Linked DNA regions of Danio rerio. Each later gene encodes a partner of the first gene's protein in a complex. Links are inferred from orthologs where the notes say so. Each region holds a gene or a part of one and is shown on either strand. Other genes may lie near its edges.

Evidence for each region.
Region 2: mcm4 (region 1) and gins2 share a complex: the UniProt entries of both Homo sapiens proteins name them as parts of the CMG helicase complex. The link is inferred for Danio rerio from reciprocal best matches to the Homo sapiens genes MCM4 and GINS2.
Region 3: mcm4 (region 1) and gins4 share a complex: the UniProt entries of both Homo sapiens proteins name them as parts of the CMG helicase complex. The link is inferred for Danio rerio from reciprocal best matches to the Homo sapiens genes MCM4 and GINS4.

The regions. Positions count from the first base shown.
Region 1 is NC_133199.1:39,258,392-39,265,703, reverse strand, and holds part of mcm4 (DNA replication licensing factor MCM4), read left to right. Parts: intron 1-2,818; coding exon 2,819-3,078; intron 3,079-3,291; coding exon 3,292-3,657; intron 3,658-5,034; coding exon 5,035-5,162; intron 5,163-5,735; coding exon 5,736-5,943; intron 5,944-7,312. UniProt on the Homo sapiens protein: Acts as a component of the MCM2-7 complex (MCM complex) which is the replicative helicase essential for 'once per cell cycle' DNA replication initiation and elongation in eukaryotic cells.
Region 2 is NC_133193.1:32,042,248-32,049,559, reverse strand, and holds part of gins2 (DNA replication complex GINS protein PSF2), read left to right. Parts: intron 1-1,631; coding exon 1,632-1,746; intron 1,747-1,826; coding exon 1,827-1,926; intron 1,927-7,312. UniProt on the Homo sapiens protein: Required for correct functioning of the GINS complex, a complex that plays an essential role in the initiation of DNA replication, and progression of DNA replication forks.
Region 3 is NC_133183.1:62,249,753-62,257,064, forward strand, and holds part of gins4 (DNA replication complex GINS protein SLD5), read left to right. Parts: intron 1-2,474; coding exon 2,475-2,561; intron 2,562-2,678; coding exon 2,679-2,792; intron 2,793-2,993; coding exon 2,994-3,091; intron 3,092-4,482; coding exon 4,483-4,571; intron 4,572-7,312. UniProt on the Homo sapiens protein: Required for correct functioning of the GINS complex, a complex that plays an essential role in the initiation of DNA replication, and progression of DNA replication forks.

The DNA.
Region 1 (7,312 bases):
AGTTTTTGTACTTGGCGTTTAGCTGCACTGAAAAATTATCTTATTTCAATTTTCTCTGTCATTTTATTCATTACATGACACTGCAATGCAAGTTTATTTATGTTGTAGCACATTTAAATGGTAATTCGAAGTGCTTTACATAAAGAATGCAAAACTATCATAAAAATAATCACAAAAACAAATAACTAAAAAAGGTTAACATTTTAATTTTAAATTAATTGAGTTACTTAAAACTGAATAGAAACTGATTATAGAATAATACAGTGGGGTTAGTGTGCACAGTGTGCACAGTGTAGCACAGCGCTCATTTAGCAAATACACAGCAAAACAATATGCTAATTGTGGTCGTTAATGTTAAGTTAACATTATGCCAAGTCGTCACAAATTAAACAATGCATGGGAAATGGCTTTAGTGTTAGCAACAAGCTAACGTTAACTAGATAAGTAATAGAGGTGTGAACCTATACTGGTCTCACGGTTTGGTTCGGTTACGATTATCATGCCTTCGGTTCAATTCGATATCTCGGTGTATTGACGATGCTTTCCATATACAGTGTTATATTTTAGGGGGGAGGCTATAACAAGCTGTCTGTATAAACACACAGACACACAGCACCACACTGTCTCTCATTCAAACACATACACAAACATAGACAGGACCAAAGAAACACGCTCACACACACACACACACACACACACACACACACACACACACACACACACACACACACACACACTTAAGCCCTTGCAACAGGGAGAGCTTGCGCTGAGCGGAGCAGAAAAAAGAAAAAAAAGCACTTTTCAGACGGTCCCTTTCTGAGAGCTCCTCTCCACGCGAGCTCTCCCGGCTAAACACGTATTGCGAGGGCTTAAACAGAGCAGTGCTCGTAATGTCGAGCGAAAAAAAAGAAAGACAGCTGTGGAACATAACCAGCTTTGTCTTTTTGTAGGAAACACACTTTAGATCTTTTTAGGGTAGGAGGTTTATGAGTTAATGCCGTCTAAAGCTGAATGCGTGTCAGGAATATCGAAAACAAAACCAACTGAACCACGCTCCTTTCTGGCGCCCCCCTGGATATACAGCACCCTTAGCATTTGCCTATGGTGCCTATGCCACAGACCGGCCCTGAGTTGGCTGAGTGTTAAAAATACTCGCGCTCACCTCCCTCGTGACAGAGCGCATAGGAGATCAATGACGTGACATCAGTACATAATAACCGGTTATGATTATTACGGAACCGATACCTTATTGTCCGCGTCTGCATCGCGGTGCACCGAAGAAACAATTAATTTTGACACCCCAAATAAGTAATTTCAATCGTTAATGCAGCAGATTTATGGAGAATTACAAGCCTCGGATAGGAACGGACATGTCCCCCCTTTTCCCCCTGGGATTTACGCCCCTGTGAAGTAGGGATGCTCATTTTGGTTAATTTTGCTTACCGACAACCGCCGCTCATTAATCAAATATTACCTGTTAACTGGTCATATTAATATTAAATTAGCATTTAGTTTAAAAAAATTTGACGTCTCTGTTGTGTCTGACACATTAAATATTGCATTTTAAACACTGATTTATTTTAACATGCGAACATAACAACAGAGTATCTTCACACACCTGCAGTATTTCCAACAGCATAGAAAAACAGAATAAACTAAATTAAATGAATAAAATAAATAGGCCTGCCCTAACAATTTTTTCAATTAAATTATTAATTTAGGCGCCGTTTACACTGTTTGGTCTTGATGCCCAATTCCAATTTGTTGCCTATATCTGATTTGTTTGCCTGTCTGTTTACACGTTGTTTTAATTGTGACCCATATCCAATTCACTCGTTTACACTTGCCATACAATTTATGTTGTCGCGCATGCATAAAGCCGGGTTCTAGCATCTATGCCACACTAGCCACGATGGAAGAAATTGTCTTGTTTTTAGCTCTGCGAAGTGTAGTATAAGCAGTGAATGGTTTAGTCCAGATTTACCCCCACGTAGTAATAATGGTATGGCACTGATGTGTGTGTGTGTAGTTAAATATGTAGCCTTTGCCTGTGTGCGCACTGGTGTTAGAGAGAATAAAGTTGTTCTATGTGTATTAATAGTGACAAAAAGCAAAAGTTACAACACGAAGTTCGCCCAACTTTAAAATGATTTTGTGGTGGAGGAGGAAAAGGGCCGTCATCGCAGCTTGCGCTTATGGTTTATATGCTTTATGATGTCCTCCACCATTCAGAGGAATGTGTGGGTACGAGAGAGATCTCGGGTCTGCTGGGAGCAAATGGTGTCGACTGACCACTTCCTCCTCTGTGTTTCCTCTGATGTTGTTTACCGCGTCTGCATCTCCACACACGCTCTTCTTTCTGTCATTAAACTGCGGAGAAGCACCACATTGTCGCAAGTTTAATGATGTACAGAACGGAATGCCTCAATAAATCCGATCTGCCTGTTTACATGACAGTCGCATTGTCACATATCCGATCTAAATCTGATTTATTTCCCAATGCGAAGGAGGCCTGAAACCGATCTCTGAACATCCGAATGCATGCCTTTTTTTTTTTTTTTGTGTTTACTCAGTCGTAGAACAGATCCGATCTGCGTCACATATGAGCAAAAAATCGGAATTGGGTCACATTTAACTGGCAGTGTAAACGGGGGCTTAGGTTACAAAATGAAAACACTGACTGAATCCTTTATAAGAACCGGCATAGGCTGTTTTTTTTTTTTTTTTTTTGGTACATTTTTTTTGTATTTTTTTACACTCATGTTTTTGTCTTTCGTTTGGCAAAATGACTGAGCAACTCTTCTTTTATTGTGCTCAGGCATCTACAGAGCTGCCCCGATGCGTCTGAACCCACGGCAGAGCCAGGTGAAGTCTGTTTACAAGACCCACATTGACGCCATTCACTTCCGCAAGACTGACGAGAAGCGTCTGCATGGACTGGACGAGGACGGAGAGCAGAAACTCTTCACTAAAGAACGAGTCGCTCTGCTAAAAGAGCTAGCCGCTAAACCTGACGTCTATGAGCGCCTGTCCTCTGCTCTGGCTCCCAGCATCTACGAACACGAGGACATCAAGAAGGTCAGTATGATGGGAAACTCTAAATTGATGAAGTTGTTTTGAGTGTAATTGAATTGCTCCTCCACTTGCGAACTTGTCCCACTCCGTCTTCATGTGTTGATTGAGATTACGTCAGTCATCGAATAAAAATGCACATTTTAAAGCACTTCACGAGACCTTTACATCAAGGAATATGCTGTCAGGACACAAGTTGATGGTGTTGATGTTTTCCAGGGCATCCTGTTGCAGTTATTTGGCGGGACGCGTAAGGACTTCACTCAGACGGGCCGAGGAAACTTCCGTGCTGAAGTCAACATCCTGCTGTGTGGTGATCCGGGCACCAGTAAATCCCAGCTGCTGCAGTACGTGTACAACCTGGTTCCTCGCGGTCAGTACACGTCCGGGAAAGGATCCAGCGCCGTTGGTCTCACAGCCTACGTGATGAAGGATCCTGAAACCCGACAGCTGGTCCTGCAGACCGGAGCGCTCGTGCTCAGCGATAATGGCATCTGCTGCATCGACGAGTTCGACAAGATGAGCGACAACACCAGATCTGTGCTGCACGAGGTCATGGAGCAGCAGACGCTCTCTATTGCTAAGGTGCATAGGCTTATACGTATCTGATTACCTTAGTTTTTTAACTATATACGTTTCATCACAGTATTGACCCAAGCTGCAGTAATTTAACAAGTATAGTTACAAAAATGCTTTATTATATATACACATGTTGAGATAAAATAAATGTTTTAAACACATTAAATTGCAAAAGGATGATAAAGTAAAATAGGTAACACTTTACAATAAATTCTCTTTCATAAACCGTTAAAATAATTCGTTAAAATCAAGAATGAGAAAATGCAATATAGTTATTCATTCGTTCATTTTCTTTTTGGCTTAGTCACTTTATTAATCAGTGGTCGCCACAGCGGAATGAACCGCCAACTTATCCAGCACATGTTTTATGGAGCGGATGCCCTTCCAGCTGCAACCCATCTCTGGGACACATCCATACACACTCATTTACACACACTATACACTACAGACAATTTAGCCTACTCAATTTACCTATAGCGCATGTCTTTGGACTGTGGGGGAAACCGGAGCACCCAGAGGAAACCCGCGCAAACGCAGGGAGAACATGCAAACTCCACACAGAACTACCTACAGCACTACCTACTGCGCCACTGCGTCGCCTATTATAGTTATGTCAACGTTCGCAAAAAATACAACCAAATAAGTCTGTTTATCACATTTAATGAAGCAATTTCGACGTTAGATTTAAATAATAATAATAATAATAATTCTATACATTTATATAGCGCTTTTCTGGACACTCAAAGCGCTTTACACATTGGGGGGCGGGGTCTCCTCATCCACCACCAGTGTGGAGCATCCATCAGGATGACGTGATGGCAGCCATATTGTGCCAGACCACACACCAGCTGATTGGTGGAGAGGAGACCATGAACCCATTATGATATGAGGATGGTTAGAAGGCCATGATAGACAGAGGCCAGTGGGCAGATTTGGCCAGGATGCAATGAGAAATTGAAAAAAAGAAATAAAGAAAATGAAAGCATTTCAATAAATTAAGCATTAACTACAAATTAACATCACCTAAGATTAATAAATGTTTTTGTAGTTATCATTACATGGACTTTAATGAGTCAGAATTCATGAACAAAAGGCCTATAAATAGTCTCAGATTCAGTAAGTCTTACTTTTTGAAAATAACCTAACCAATACTAATACAACAAACTAATACAACATTTTCTTAAAAGGCACTCAAATGTTTAAACAATTAATCATGGTGTTTTGAGGTACCTGTGATATCAATATTGTGCATGTTCATTATCACAATATATCGAATTAATGAATACCGACATGTATCTGAAGGTGCATGAAGGATTGGGTTTGGAATTGCAATGCATTTGTTTGAACTGATGATTAATGCAGGATTGTGTGTGTGTTTCGTAGGCTGGGATTATTTGTCAGCTTAATGCTCGGACCTCCATCCTCGCAGCAGCCAATCCGGTGGAGTCTCAGTGGAACCCCAAAAAGACAACGATAGAGAACATTCAGCTGCCTCACACACTGCTGTCCAGGTACAAATTAAACAACCGTATTTATAGCGGATAATGTATATTAATCATCTGCTGAATATTTAAAACAATGTGTTTTGAAAAATATTAGTTAACATTAATTAGATTAAAAATAAAGTAAAAATGTAATGTTTAATAATTACAGTTTAAAATAGATGTTTTCTTTTAGGATGTATTACATTTTTGTAATGCAAAGTGTTGTGCTGCTTAATATTATTTGGGAACCAACTTCCTAAGTGCAGTGTTTATGTGAAATGCCAATAATTATGTGATAATTTTAATGTTTAAAAGTAAAGAAAAAAAACATTTGGATGATATAATTAAATATTAGTTTTGTCAGTATAGAAGTGTTTAATTTAAATTAGTTGTCAAATTAAATTATAAACTAACTTTAAAGACATTTATTAACAAATAGGGCAAATTTACATAAAAGAACTTAATTTTTTTTTTACTTTTGTGATCTCAAAGATTATTAATTATTCATAATATTAGTTCAACATAAGCTGCTTTTTATTTTAATGTTTTTTTTTCTTCTTTTGTCTAATAATTGTCTCTCTGCATCTGTTTTTTTTCCAGGTTTGATTTGATCTTCCTAATGCTGGACCCTCAGGACGAGGCGTATGACAGGCGTCTGGCGCACCACCTTGTCTCTCTGTATTATCAGAGTGAAGAGCAGATTGAAGAGGAGCATCTGGACATGGCTGTACTGAAAGACTACATCGCCTTCGCTCGCACAACTGTACATCCCAGACTGAGTGAAGAAGCCAGTCAGGCCCTTATTGAGGTATAGAAACACTATAACAGCACAGCATTATATGTTGCCAGCTTTGTTACTTTTAATTTAAGGACGATACTGATATTTCACTGTGATTAGCTGATCTTGATTTATTTTTTAATTGGCCATTTCATATGTCAGATTTCTTTTGCAATCAAATTGTTCGTTGTCTCTTTTATAATTAAAGGGGCTGTATGTAAGTTTTGGACTATTAATACTATAATATCCATAATATTTTTGCAGATATTTCAGAAATATGCGAAGTCAGGGCTCGAAATTGCGACTGTTTTGGTCGCAAATGCGCCCGAGAATAATCTATGCAACCTCATAATATATATGGGAGCATTAGTGCGACTGCAGATAATGGTTGTAGTGTGACCTGTTTAGATTTTTTCTAAAAACGTGCTAAATCGGTCTTCCCTGCCGCTATATTGGTTCATATTAGCTGTCAATCACTCAAGATATTCCGCAGTCAGGTGACAGGGAAGAAGCTTTTATGACCACGGGAAATGCAAACGGCTGAAGAGTGAAAACTTAAAGCACACAGGTTTGCAAACCCCACCTAAAGTTGAGGCGCAGATGAAAGCGATCATGACATGTGGTGAATATTGATCCGCCAGCTGAGATCAATCGACCATGTGCTTTTCGGAGAAGGCGCCCGAATCTCGATGCGTTGCATTCACTGCGTGTTCAGCGCAAATGTCCGCTAAAAGTTAAATCTAATACTGGACATATCATCGCCAAAGAAGCTCGCCTTTACTAAGTTCACACTGAAGCTGCGGCTCATAAACAGTGGTATTGCGCCGATGGTCATCGCAAGAATCCTGCTCTGCCTGCTCATAAATTGGGTCGGTTGACTCGCCTGCTTTTCCACAAACACAGAAAAATGAAGATCAGCTCAGACTGAACCTTTAAATTGACACAAACTGAAACCAAAACTTTTAAAGAGTGATAGAAGTGAGACTTTACTTACTTTGTTTTGTCTATTCTTTCTAGAGGTGTATATTATTTATTTTTTTATTTAGTTACTGATGACTGTTTTGCTGCTTTCAGGCTTGAATTTAATTATTTATTATAATCTTTTGTTTGTTTTATGGCAGAAATATTATTTATTAAACTGACATGCATATATTAACAGCAGTACAAAATAAATATTTCTTACTGCAATGCTTCATTTTTGTTTGATGCAAACTATACATTTATTTCTCATAAAGTAACAGACTTTTTATAGCAGATAACCTGCATTCAAGCACATTCAAGGCAGCATGATGATGAGAACTGTAATTCATTGTTACTATTATCGTCATTTTCATCAACATTAATATTTTATAATTATTCGACATTCATTTTGGAATTATTGCACACAAATATCAATGTC
Region 2 (7,312 bases), on another chromosome or scaffold:
GGTTGACGTTTGCATGGAATTGCTCTCTCTCACGCACACACACACAAATAATGTGTGTCTTAATAGATAAATATAGTTCATAGTCTATGTTTTATACTAGACAATACATTTTATTTTAATCTCTGACAGTGTTAAAAGGTTTAATTACAGCAAGCAAAAGTACATTTTGTGAAAAGATGTGCGAAGCCAAATGTCTTGAGTCAATGCTTGTAACCATGTTTAAATGTTTATTCCAAGTAAGCCGCTTGAGATATTAGGGACATTCTACCAGAATTGTACATTGTCTGTCCCTGAAATAAAAACATAAATACAGTGAATAAAAAGTATTTTATTCCAAATATTTTTTAAAATGGACTGGATTTTTTGAGTTTTTCTGTGAAGGAATATGTCATTTGGTTTTCAGATTTTTGTTCTTCATTAAAAACTTTACAAATGTACAAATTTTACTCTGTACAAATTTACAGCGTCTATGGGGTTAAAAGTAAATTTGACATTATTCTTTCCTCTGGCTGCCGTCATCAGTCTGATAGTTTTGATAACACCATCATGGAGTTTTTATCATTTCAGCAAATAGGATTGTAATAAAGATTATTTGTTGTACTCTCTAATTTACTACACTTTAAGTTTACCCAACTGTGACGCCTTCCATTACTGAGAAACCTAGAAATGTGAAAAGGGTCCTTGTCCTCAGCTTTAATAGTTTTGTCATGCTAAAAACTGTTGTAGTAATTGCAAGTTAAAGTTGTTAGCAATCACATCAATTGATTAAAAACATGAAATTATAATTACATTCTACAAATAAATACTACAAATATATAATACAAATACACTTATAATTGTCCTCATGTTTTGGTCACTCCTGTTTGCATGAACTTTAACAAAAAAAGCGTGCAATACACCTTTAAGGCTATGACTCGGAAGTGACATCATTTGATGGAGAAGCTGACAGTGATCAACGATGTGTTCTATCATTGAGTTGTATGATTTTATGCTTGTTTTTGTATGATTTTATAAGTAGGACAAGCTTAAAGGTCTGGCCCTGTTACATTTTATATAAATATATGTAAATAAATATATGTAAAAAAATAATTATAATTTTTTTTTATAAAATATAAATTTATGAAAATATACGTTTCTGGTAGAATGTCCTATATACTTAATGTTAAATTCTTTATTCATATGGCTTATTGGGCGGTGGCTCAGGGGTTTGCACAGTCGCCTCACAGCAAAAAGGTCACTGGTTTGAGTCCCACCTTTTGTGTGGAGTTTTCTCTGGGTGCTCCGATTTCCCACACAGTCCAAAGACATGTGGTACAGGTGAATTGGCTAAACAAAGTTGGCTGTAGTGTATGAGTGTGTGTGTGAATGTGAGAGTGTATGGCTGTTTTCTAGTACTGGGTTGTGGCTGGAAGGACATCCGCTACATAAAACATTTGCTGGAATAGTTGGGGATTCATTTCTCTGTGGCGATCCATGATAAATAATGGACTAAATTGAAATAAAGGAAAGGGGATTAAGATAGCATGTTTTGTGCCATCTCTGAATTACAGGTTTTGTTTAGACCATACTTTTTTGGTCACTTACAGCTAGCTACTTGAGTATGTATCTGATTTATTGATTAATTTTTCCAGGGAGATTTAGGCCCGTTCAACCCAGGTCTGCCTGTTGAAGTTCCTGTCTGGTTGGCCCTCAATCTTAAACAACGGCAGAAATGCAGGATAGTTCCTCCAGAATGGATGGACACAGGTGAGTTTCAGTCTGTCTGTGCTGGGACACCATCTATTCTGAAGGCAGGCTCTAAACGCTGCTGATCTTTTCATTTTCAGACAAACTAGAAGACATCCGTGAACAGGAGAGGAAATTAGACACTTTTACTCCCATCCCAAATCCATATTACATGGAGCTGACCAAATTATTACTCAACCAGTGAGTATCAGATCTCCTTCAGCCTTGTTTTTTAATGTAATGTCAGAGTGTGTCTCATTGAGGCTGTTTACACCTGGTCATTTCATGCATGATGCATAATTGTGAAAACGGATCTATTTCTATTTGTTCATATAATTGTGTCGCCACTAAAATGACAACGATCTTTAAATCCTTCACTATTTGGGGTTCTCGGTAAAATGTGAAATGTCCTGTTATCCTCCTATGATTTGGTGTGTCCTGTGATCCACAGTTAAAAATATACATTTTTTATTTTGGTTTGGGGATAAAAACAACTGCAGCAATACTGCCTTGTACACTTTAGATTACAGGGCTCAACAATAAGGACTGCCCGATGGCCCGGGGCCAGCGTGTGAGATGCTCGGGACAGTAGACAGGATCGTTACTGGCCCGATCGGGCCACTGCTGCCTTGTTACTAAAGTTTAATTTTCCTGTGATTATTTGTCAATTGCGTGCAAATACAGTTTTAGAATTGAGAAACAGTACGTATTTTCCTTATACCACTTATACCAAACGTTCTGCTCACACAACCCCAATTTTGTACGACCTCCATTGGCTCCCAGTTGCTTATCGCATTAAATTCAAAATTCTCCTCCTTGCATTTAGATCCCTAAATAGCCTAGCTCCCTCCTATCTCTGCAGCATACTTGTCCCCTACACCCCAACTCGTTCATTACGTTCCGCTGACTCTGGCCTTCTCGCTGTCCCTCGGTACCGCCTCTCTTCAATGGGGGGCAGATCATTTAGTGTTATTGCACCCAAACTCTGGAACTCTCTACCACACTCACTCCGCTGACGTCAACTTTCCTCACATCTCAGTGTGTTGAGTTCTTGAATTTATATCGTGTCTGTGTGAAGGAGAGAAACCACGAAAGTGCAAGTGGGACCACAACACAGTACATTGCCTTCAGTCACTCAATGTAAATTCACAAACAAAAAAAAAACAAATGCTGGTTTTCTTGCAAAACCCTGGCCTATAATTGTTAAAATAAAATAGCTTACACTGGGTCATTTATGTTAATTTTGAAAACTATACAGATCTTTGATTAAAATGTTAAATTTTTTATTTACTTATTTTTTTGCAGGAGGACAAAAACTGCTTGTATTTTTATATTTTATAAGTTGAGTTGTTAGATGTCCGTTATTCAATAAATAGGTGTTCAATTTGTTTTTTAAATTTGTTTGGAGCCATTTTTCTTTCTAAACAGCACATATCATACCAAAACTGTTATATTTACGGAACTGTGAGAAGTTTGAACGGTTGCAGCCCTACTTTCTACAGTATATACAAATGTATGTAGATAGCATAATCTAAAGCATCAGATACACTGCATTTTATTTATTCGTTCATTTTCTTTTTGGCTTAGTTCCTTTATTAATTAGGGGTCACCACAACGGAATGAACCACCAACTTTGTTGGTGCCATCTTTGAAACGGCTCTCGGGCAGTATGCTCAAAATTGCTTGCTAAACTTAAGATTAAATTTCATATCAGGAGTCACCAATAAAATAAAACAACAACTACTGTCACTTTAGTTTCATTTCTAAACATTTGAATCACACAAAATCTGCAGAAACTCATGTCTGACCTAAGCCCCTTCCCCGGGGAATCATCAGTCTATAGCGATCAATAATTGGCACCTGCACTAGAAGGTGGGGCTTCATTCGCCATATTGATATACGCTTACGATTAAACTCCATATTAGGAATCGCCAATAAAATTAAACAAGAACGGTCTCTTTAGTTTGTATTTCTAAGTGTTTGAATCAAACAAAATCTGCAGAAACTCACGCCTGGTCTGAGCCTCTCCCCGGAGTATCGTCAGTCTATAGCAGGGGTTGAGAACCTTTTTTTCGGCAAAGAGCCATTTTTGATTTTTTTTTTTTTTAAAATGCAGTTTTTTAAAGACCTATTGGATATAAACAATACAGGTTTAAACAACACCTTTATTTATGTACATGCACAACTCAAAAATAAACAAATATGAAGCATCACATGTTGAGCAAGTTTATGAACAAAGAATGGACAATTTATAGAACTTTTTCTTTTTGACATCATCATAAATGTTGTTTGAATTTTCATGCGTGAGGTTATAGAAGTGTAGGGTTCTATTTTAACGATCTAGGCACGAAGTCTAAAGCTATAAATAAATGAACAATAATAACAAAGTGTGGTCAAAAAAACTGAATTATATACTAACACACGTGCTATGCCCCATATGGTCCAAAACCCGACAGATGGACAAATCTTTTTAATAAAACAAATATAATGCGCATATAATAAATAATACTACTAATAGTTATAACATTATTAAAAAGCAAGTTGTTGTAAATAAACTGAAAAAAGCCTCCCGAGATAAAGGTATGAAGGTTTATATGTTTATGTAGAAAATTCAAATTTTTGTAATATTTTAATCCTTTAATTCTTTTTCAGTTGTACAGATATTTGTGTATAGTTGTACTTCCTTTGGTTTTAAGCAATGTGTAAGCGAGGTGGACACCTGACTCGCTCTGTGCTGGACTTTAGACCTTTCAGCTGGTCTAATGCTCAGTCTATTTTAGTTTCTCAAATTAAACAACACCAAACAATGTGCCTTAACACACCTGTTTTCTGGAGCGGAACACCCATGAGTCCACAAAGTGGCGCAAATGGATTTGCTTTTTAAACAATGCGGCAGAAAACTGGAAAATTAAGGTTGCGCTGGTCTAAAAATAGCAACACGTCGGGGCAAACACGTCTTGTGACTTATCGCGCCGGGTGTATGATAGGGCCCCTTAAGTTGTTTGCTTATTTCTTATAAATTTTTCTGTAAATAAATACAATAAAAAAGGAAATGTAATTTTATTTTCAATAGAAAACTGAGTGACATTTATAATTTTTTAAGCTGTAAAATATTATTGAAAGGAGACAGTTGGAGAGCTACGTATTTTTGGTCAAAGAGCCACTTGTGGCTCTCGAGCCATAGGTTCCCTACCACTGGTCTCCAGCGATTGATGATTGGCTCCTGTACTAGAAGGCGGGCGTTATTTGCCTTAAGGCTGATTTATACTTCTGCGTCAAACGCCAGCGTATGACGCATAGCCCTTCGCCGTGGCCGTCGCCGTCACTGACGTGCACCTCTCAAAAATTGTAACTACACGTCGCAACGACGCGTAGCGTAAGCTCTGTGATTGGTCGGCTTGGTAGCGCTGATGAGTCTGGGCGGGACCGAGAGCCGCGCAAATGGCGCGAGCAATTGTTTACAAGATTGGAGTCCCGTGAAGGAGCTCCCGATGGAAAGTTTTGTTTTGTGTTTACCTCATAGTTAAAGTTGTTGCACGTCCGCCGGTTCCTGCCTTAAAATGAGCGAGTTTGAGCCACTTGTACATCCCTGAAGTGTTCAGGAAAAGCAAAAAAGCAGCGAAGAAACTCGACACAGAGGAACATTTACACCTCACTGCCAACTAGCATTTCGGAAGTGTTAATGCAGACCGACAGAGACAGCGCGCAGAAGTATAAATGCACAGCCACGCGCGTTGCATGCGCCGTGGGTTACGCCGGTCACCTGATGCAGAAGTATAAATCAGGTTTTATAGCGATCGATGATTGGCTCCTGAACTAGTATGTGGGGCTTTATTCACCATATTGACGTTACACTTTTCTCCATTCACAAAGATACAAGTAACATGTCTTGTGCATTCTATAGTCTTTGCTGTTACGCTTTTCCCCATTCAAAGTAAACGAGTGACATATTCTACAGTCTTTAGCTGCTTTTCCACTATCGAGCTGAACTGTTCTAAGAACACTTCAGTATGGTTACAATTGTTTCTCCACTGAGCCTGGAACAGCGCGACACGATTACAAACCGTTCTCGGCCCGGAATTCTCTGCACGGTTAGACAACTGTGCTGAACTGTGCCGACAGATTCTGTGTGTTGACGTCGCGTAAGCACGCTAGTCATCAGACATCCACAAGTGGACTACACTTTATTTATTATGAAAAAAAGTAAACCAGGTCTAAACCGTAGAGTTTAAAAAGGGTTTTAAAACCATAGAGCAGTCTCTGGCAGAGAAGTGAAGAACTCCTCACATTCTTACGAAGATATTTTATTTAACTATTACTGTAATAACTATTAATAAGTATTATATAACTATTTTAAGTTATTATTTCATTGACATGAATACAATTAACCATGTATGATATAATTACTAACCCCTCATCTAAAATAATAAAATAGCCTATTGTTTTATTCATGGCTAGAGTTTGATTCATTTGATTGAAATCCTAGGCAATGAGACCTTTAATTCACCTGGTTGAATGTGAGTTTGCACGCAGCGCTGTATTTGGTAGCACAAACACTTGCTCTGATCCGGGAGAGAACTTTACCAATGACTACATGCGCTGCTGAAAGACTTTTTTTTCCTGCTGCGCATCGAATAAAGCAAAGAAAGACATGCTTAACATCATCGATGTCCACAACAACACCACTATATCCATGGAACATGAACTTGCCAACTCTTTTTAACAACGAGGAAATAATTGTACTTTTTAATTCAAAGCCCAGGCGGCTTGTTAATTTAATACCGGCGAGACCACCTGAAGGATTGCTACAGCGTGCTGTAATTGTTGGCTGTCCAAAAGTCTACGGTCGGTAGAAAGTGAACTCTTAATTTTTATGGACTTTGCTTGAAAGCTTTACGGAGTGGCACTGTATCTGTCCAAGGTACCGTTGTATGATTTATATTATAGCCTATATATGCACCAATAAACAAGTCAAATGAATGAATAAAAAAATATGGATTATTTATTGTCGGTATTGCTTTTACTCAAAAAATAACAGTACTTTTTGACAAATGTTTTACAAAAATAAAATGAGCAATTTTTATCATTTCTAAAGGCCATTTTATGATTTAGTTATACATAAGTTTGACATTTATGGGGGCATGTAACATGTTTCTGTGTTTTTTGTGATCTGTAATATATACTGGGTAGCTATGCAAATATTTTCTGAAACGTCAAGCAAGAATTTGCTTACAGCTTTTTAGTTAATTATGAAGACAAAAAAAAAAATAACAAAAATAAAACGATAAAAATACAAAGATAAAAGAGCAGCATTTTGCTAAATATAATAGTCCTTTATATGCTTTATATCCTGCTTTGTGTTGTTTCGTATTAATTTTTTTATTTCACTTGCTGCATTCGTTATTTAACGTTTGAATACTGAAACAAATAGCAGCCATCACTTAAAGGGTTATATTTTACCATCAAAATGTAGTATATGTTAAATCATTATCAACTTTTGATATAAAACCACTGTGTAATTTGATTGATTGTCAAAAATGAAACAATTTAAGTGCTATATTTTTTATTTATGAAAGTGCCTGCTTCT
Region 3 (7,312 bases), on another chromosome or scaffold:
AATAATATTTTTTTGTAATTAACCATTAAAATCTGGCATTTGGTTCAACATTTAGGGTGGAAGCAAATGGCAATTGTGGGCTTTGATTGAAGATATTTTTTAAACAGTGGGTTAACTAAAGAATAAGATTGTACATTTTGATTTCACGTGCACTTTAAGGGTGCTTTTACACCTACACTTTTGTTTGGGAACGTGTCTCGTTTGCCCAGTTAGCGCAGTTCGTTTGGCATATGTGAACAGGGCAATCGCGCTCTGTTCCGCGCCAAAGTAATCGCTCCGAGACCGCTTGAGTGAGGAGGTCTCGGCTCGATTAGAAAGAACCCTGGAGCGGTTTGATTGCAGTGAGAAAGTGATCCGATCCGAGCGCGGTTACATCACAGTGTTTTATGGATATGTAATAGGCTTACGGCTATATGAAGAGAGAATTATGAGCATGGCGGGAAGTTTCGCGAGTCTCCGGATGCCCGCAAACGAGTGATGATCTCCCGGTAATCTCGAGTCTCCCTCCCGGTCCTCAAATAGGCATCGTCACGCACCCTTCTCCCCCCTCCCCACTGCATCTCTCCTCAGACACGTCGCGCGTGCACCCTGTCAATCACCATCAAACCACCACCTCTCCTGACAGCTGAGCGGGACGCTGCAAATTAAACCCTCTGAGATAAACAAATCTCTGTTTCGGAACAACTGAATCGATTCACAGGTGTGAAAGCAGCCTAAAGCTGGAAGTTTCAGTACAATGATGTGTTTCCAACTGAAACTGAATATTGATTAGGGGGGGCGGAGTTTTATTTTTTGCGATGGTAGGGGGCGTGGCTTAGCACATTTTGCCCAAACCAAATTATTATAGTTAACCAAAACAAGTGAAAAGACAAAAACTAAAGGTTAAAATAATTTTCTTTCATTTTCTTGTCAGATTAGTCCCTTTATTAATCCGGGGTCGCCACAACGGAATGAACCGCCAACTTATCCAGCAAGTTTTTACGCAGCGTATGCCCTTCCAGCCGCAACCCATCCCTGGGAAACATCCACACACACATTCACACACACACACTCATACACTACAGACAATTTAGCCTACCCATTCTCCTGCATGTCTTTGGACTGTGGGGGAAACCGGAGCACCCAGAGGAAACCCACACGAACGCAGGGAGAACATGCAAACTCCACACAGAAACGCCAACTGAGCCGAGGCTCGACCCAGCGACCTTCTTGCTGTGAGGCGACAGCACTACCTACTGCGCCACTGCTGTAAACGCAAACCAAAATCGTCCCGGAGTGCAGGGGTCCGTTCTTCTTACCTCGCTTAAATGATCTAAGATGATTTGGCAGATCCTGGATCTTTTAATCTTGATAACTGATCTCTCGCTAATTTGGTTCTTCAAACAAGTTCGCAAATCAGATTAGAATGTCTGGATAAACTGATCTGAGATCGCTGCGTGTGTTGTAAAGGAAAGATCTATCCATCCTCGAAATCATGATCAGCAATGCAACGATTGGCTGACGGCACAGCAGCGTAATGACATCATCTGATTAATATTCAATTATCCATGTGAGCAAAATTACATCAAATTAGCAGTAAACGGCTTGTTAAATATGACACGCAATAACCTTCCACATTTGTTGTGAGCTGCAGGCTTTACACTTCATCATGTATTTCAATGCAAATCAATGTATTTAGTTCTACATTTAGAAAAGATTTTCTTTATTATAGTAGTTGTTTTTTTAATCGGTGTAAAGAATAACTGGTTGTTTACAAAAGCATTTTGATATTGGTAAAGGTGTCTGCAACTTTTGTGAAGCATCAAATCCATGGCATATTAACTATTAAAACATGTTTATGACTGCATAAATGTATTATTGCTTTAAAAAAAGTAACATATTCTGCATTTCTATTATACACAATTTGTACTAAAGCGATCTAAAAAGTTCATATCAATAAGTTTTCTCTTCGCACTACCAGGTGGCAGTCTTTGTACTTTCATTTCGAGGGTGCAGATTGCATAAGTTTTATTAATATGTATAACTTTATTTATTTTATTAATGACTATAACTTTATACATATATATATATATATATATATAGTTAAAAATATGTACCATTTTCCCAAGTGTATATAACTACTACTGTAAGAAAATATCAGAATTCAGAACATACTTTCTGTATTATATTTGCTTGAACTGAGCCGATCTAATCCTGTTTATATGAATTGAACCTGCTCCCGACCAGGTTTGACCTAGCAGAACTGTTGCTATGACAACAACTCTCGGATCAGCTTTGAAGAACGAAACGATCCTGGATCGTGTCAAATCATCAATATCCAAATCCAGCTAACTGAGTAATCCACGTACGAAGAACAGACCCCAGGAGCCTTTGCTCAAAGTACTCGTTAATGCTTAGTTTGAGGCAGTTTTAATGTGAGCATCATCACAGAGTAGATGAACAGTGTCTCCTAATGAGCGTCTCTTGTGTTTCAGGCTTGGCTCAATGAGAAGTTTTCTCCAGAACTGTTGGAGAACAAGTCTGAGCTGGTGGAGTGTGTGATGGAGCAGCTCACACACATGGTATGAGTCTGTCTGCAGTGTTTCTCAGTCTGATTAAACTTTGCGTGACGGATGTTAGCCTGTAGACGAGTCAGATTGACCGTTTCAGTATCGATCATGACTTGTGGTGTGATTTAGGAGGAAAACCTGCAGCGTGTGAGGAAAGGAGACCTGAAGGCCAGTGTTCACCGCATGGAGATCGACCGCATCCGCTTCGTTCTCAGCAGCTTCCTGCGCTCCCGACTCAAGAAGGTAAATCGAGCGTAATTTATTCAGAAAGACTGGCAGTACGCTATAGCGCATGTGTTTGGGACTGTGGGGGAAACACCCGGAGGAAACCCACGCCAACACGGGGAGAGCATGCGAACTCCACACTGAAACGCCAGTCGGGACTCACACCAGATCTGTTCTGTAGGCTGATGTTGTGTCCACGTCTGGTTTTCTCGTCTGCAGATCGAGAAGTTTTTCCCTCATGTTCTGGAGAAGGAGAAGTCCCGTGCTGATGGAGACCCCTCGTTCCTGTCTCCTGAAGAGTTCGCCTTCGCTAAAGAGTGAGTTCAGCGCAATCTGCGACTGTCGCACTGAGGATCTGTTCATGTCTGTCAGAGAGACGCTTCTGGACCGAATGATGAGGGCGATTGAGGACAGAGAGAGAGAGAATTTAAGTGTGTGTGTGTGTGTGTGTGTGTGTGTGTGTGTGTGTGTGTCTGTTTGTTTGTGTGTGTGCACGTCTGTCTATGTATGTGTGTGTCTGCATCTGTTTGTGTCTGTGTTTGTCTTTGCGTGTGTCTGTGTGTGTGTGTGTGTGTGTGTGTGTTTGTCTTTGTGTGTGTGGGTGTTTGTTTGTGTCTGTGTGTGTCTGTTTTTGTGTGTGTGTGTCTGTCTGTGTGTGTGTGTCTTTGTGCATTTTTGTTTGTGTGTGTACATATCTATGTATGTATGTATGTATGTATGTATGTATGTATGTATGTATGTGTGTGTGTGTGTGTGTCGGGTATGTATGTGTGTGTTTGTGTTAGTGTGTGTGTCTGTGTGTGTGTGTCTTTTTGCAATTTTGTGTGTGTGTGTGTGTGTGTACATGTCTATGTATGTATGTATTTGTGTGTGTCGGGTATGTATGTGTGTGTGTTTGTGTTTGTTAGTGTGTGCACGTCTGTCTGTATGTGTGTGTGTGTCTGTGTGTTTTTTGTTTGTGTCTGTGTTTGTGTCTGTTTGTCTGTGTGTCTGTGTGTATGTGTGTCTGGTATGTATGTGTGTGTGTGTCTGTTAGCGTGTATGTGTGTGTGTGTGTGTGTGTGTGTGCACGTCTGTCTATGTATGTGTGTGTCTGTGTGTTTTGTTTGTGTCTATGTGTGTTTGTGTCTGTGTGTTTGTCTGTCTGTGTGTGTGTGTCTGTCTGTTTGTCTGTGTGTGTGTGTGTGTGTCTGGTATGTGTGGGTGTTTGTTAGCGTGTATGTGTGTGTGCACGTCTGTCTATGTATGTGTGTGTCTGTGTGTTTTTTGTTTGTGACTATGTGTGTTTGTCTTTGTGTGTGTGTTTGTGTCTATCTGTGTGTGTGTCTTTGTGTGAGTGTGTGTGTAAATGTCTGTGTGTGTGTATGTGTGTATATGTGTTTGTCTGTCTTTGTGTGTATGTGTGTGTTTGTCTGTCTGTCTCTGTGCGTGTGTGAATGAGTGTGTACCTGATATCCATTACATTATGGGGACAATAAAATACAGCAATTCCAGTACATTTTGACATTGTGGGGACATTATTTTGGTTCCCTTGAGGAAAAGTGGCCCATAAATCAGACAGAATGAAGTATTTTGTAAGATGTAAATTTGCAGATTGTTTCCAGTGAGGGTGGGGTTGGGGAAGAGTAAATACAATAGAAACATCATTACATCTATGGTGAAGTCCCCAATAAACATGAAAACTCAATGTGTGTGTGTGTGTGTTCAGGTATCTGGCGAACACAGAGGTTTACCTGCGAGCCGTGGCTTTGAAACATATGCCACCAAACCTGCAGAGCGTCGACATGATGAAGGCCGGTGAGAAACACTTCTGTATTGAAATAGCCCCTATTATGCATTAAAAGGTCATGTTGTGGATTTGGGGGTCTCCAACAACAGGCTGATCTGCATATAGGGTCAAAAAACACCTTCATTGTCTTATAATATGCGTTTATTTTTACCTGATTACCTAACGACTCCCAGGTGATTCAATCAGTGATTCATTTTTTTTTCCCCCGAACAACGACTGTAAAAAATATGTGAACAAATATGCTCCCATTGAACGCCTTAAATGCATGACGGGCACAAACTGTCGCAAAACACTGCTGAAATTGGAGCATGCGCAATAGAACTGCCTGATGGAGCCAGAGGCGGAGCTGCAGAATCAAGCTTCCAATCAAATGTGTGTACGCCAAATCAACCACGCCCCCCGAACGTCTCACCTGACCGCCCGTTTCTGCACAATAACAAAGGCTCGCTAATTTAAATATAAGCACTTGCATTCAAACACATGTAATTATATACGATTTATTTGAAAACTGTGATGCAAGCTGTTATTAATAATTTAATAAAAATAATATCTGCTGGACTGCAGAAATAAAAGTTAGACTCCGCTATGAGCACACAAAATATTTCTCTTATAACGGGTTGTTGGTATTTGGCATCTTCATAGTGTCACGGTAGAGCGACCAAAACAGGAACAAAAAAAACGGGTGTAGAATCCAAGTGCAGTTTAATTGATGTATAGGGCAGTGAAAGTGACAAAAATACAAAGTAACAAAATAGCAAACTAACAAAACAAGAAACTAAGACAGATTAAACTCGAACTAGACTATAACAAGATACAAGAGCAAGGATCAGGAATAACATTAAAAAACGACAACGACCAACTGACAAACAGAGGATAAATGACTGAATATATAGTCCAGGTAATCAACGGAGAACGGAGACAGCTGTGGTTGTAAATCAGTGTAGATGACAGACCGGGTGTGTGCGCGAAAATATGTATGGAAATGTAGTTCTTTAGCCACTGTAGTTCATTGGGGGTTGCTGGCACCTGGTGGACAAACACAGTCATGACACAAAGGGGTAGAAAACTTGTAAAGTATGAAGAATAACATATCAACGACACATACATTTTTTAGAAAGGCTTTTGTTCTTAATTAGCAATCACCAGGACCCAAAATACACGCACCATGAACAGCTATTTACCATGCGGGAAAATCGTGTGTTTATATTAGAAACAGTGGCGTAGCGCAAAATGCGGAGTCCCCCTGCAGGGATCGCTGACGGGGCCCACTGATGAAGAGGGGGGGGGGGGATACGTCATACGCCAATTTGCATATCACTGACGTCATCACGTTTTACCGTTTCTGTTTGTTTTACACCCTATGGTTAATAAAGGGGTATTTATAATTGCACTACACTTTATATAAGCATGTTTATTAACTAAATGTATTGCTGTTTGAATACAGTATGTCATTATAGATGTGTAGTGAATGTGCAGTAATCTCTCATATGTAATAAACTCAGACAAATTCAGAAACTGTCACTAATATCTGTGATTGTTAAAATAAAGTAGAAGTAGATCGGTTTGACTGTACAAGGGAAATACCTTTACACTGCCTGTGCTAAATCATTTGTTGTCGGTACGCAGAGGGGTGATCTGCTCTCGGGCTGCAGATGAGAGAGGCTGCTGTAGAGGACTGACTGGGCCGCCTGTCAGTGCTGTGAGGCGGGGGAGGGGTCGGCGGCATCACACGCAGCTCGTTGAGAAGAGTAGGGACGGTACAGTATGGACAAATGACAGTCTAAAAAAATCTCCAATAACATACAAAAAAGTCGCTAGATTTGTCGTTAGGGGGTCTGAAAAGTCGCTAAATCTAGTGACAAAGTCGCTAAGTTGGCAACATTGGCGGCAAGCAATCAGAATGAAGTAGTCCACCGCTTGAGAGGTGTTTAGAGAACACAGACCTGTGAACTTTGGTTCCGACCACAGTTGTTCCCAAGAGTTTGATTATTGCGGTTGCCGGTTGATTTTCAATTATTGAAAATCGCGACGACGCGGGGCCCCCTAATCACGCGGGGCCCCCCCGCGGTGCGTGCCCTGCGGGCCCATCCGCTACGCCACTGATTAGAAAAGGATACAGCAAGATTTCTAAATATCAACAGGATATTTACACATCTCTGCACTATATAAAATAACCCTTTTCAATTTGTACAATAAACTATTGTACAAAATATTGCTGGCATATTGTTCGATTTTTTTTTTTTTTTTTTGTCTTTGCCTCCGTTTTCATTTGGTTTATTCAATGCCTTAATTATATCTGGCAAAGAGGAGTTTACATTCATTTGAATGTTTATTAGGAATTTTCAAATAAAAAGTCAACGGTAAATGGTGTGTATAAATAATACATGTAACATTTACAGCTTTTTTTTGTTATTTAAGATTCAGTTTCTAGAACATTAATACTTTATAAATGCAAATTCAGTAGATTAACTTAATAATATGATGAAACTCAAAATCAAGCTCAGAGATATTCTTAAAATCAAGTTCAAATAACGTTGCATGAGATCGATCTGGGCATACAGGCTAACATTAGTTTTGTTTTTATAATTATTATTTCAGACCCATAAGTTGAATTACTGCAAGATAGCAATCATCTGTATTTTCCCTGACATAATAACGTTCAGTATCAGCAAACAAAAGCCCACATTTAACCGAATAAACGGTGATCCGTCAGATCCTGTAGGTCAGAAAGTATAGTTTAATCATGGTA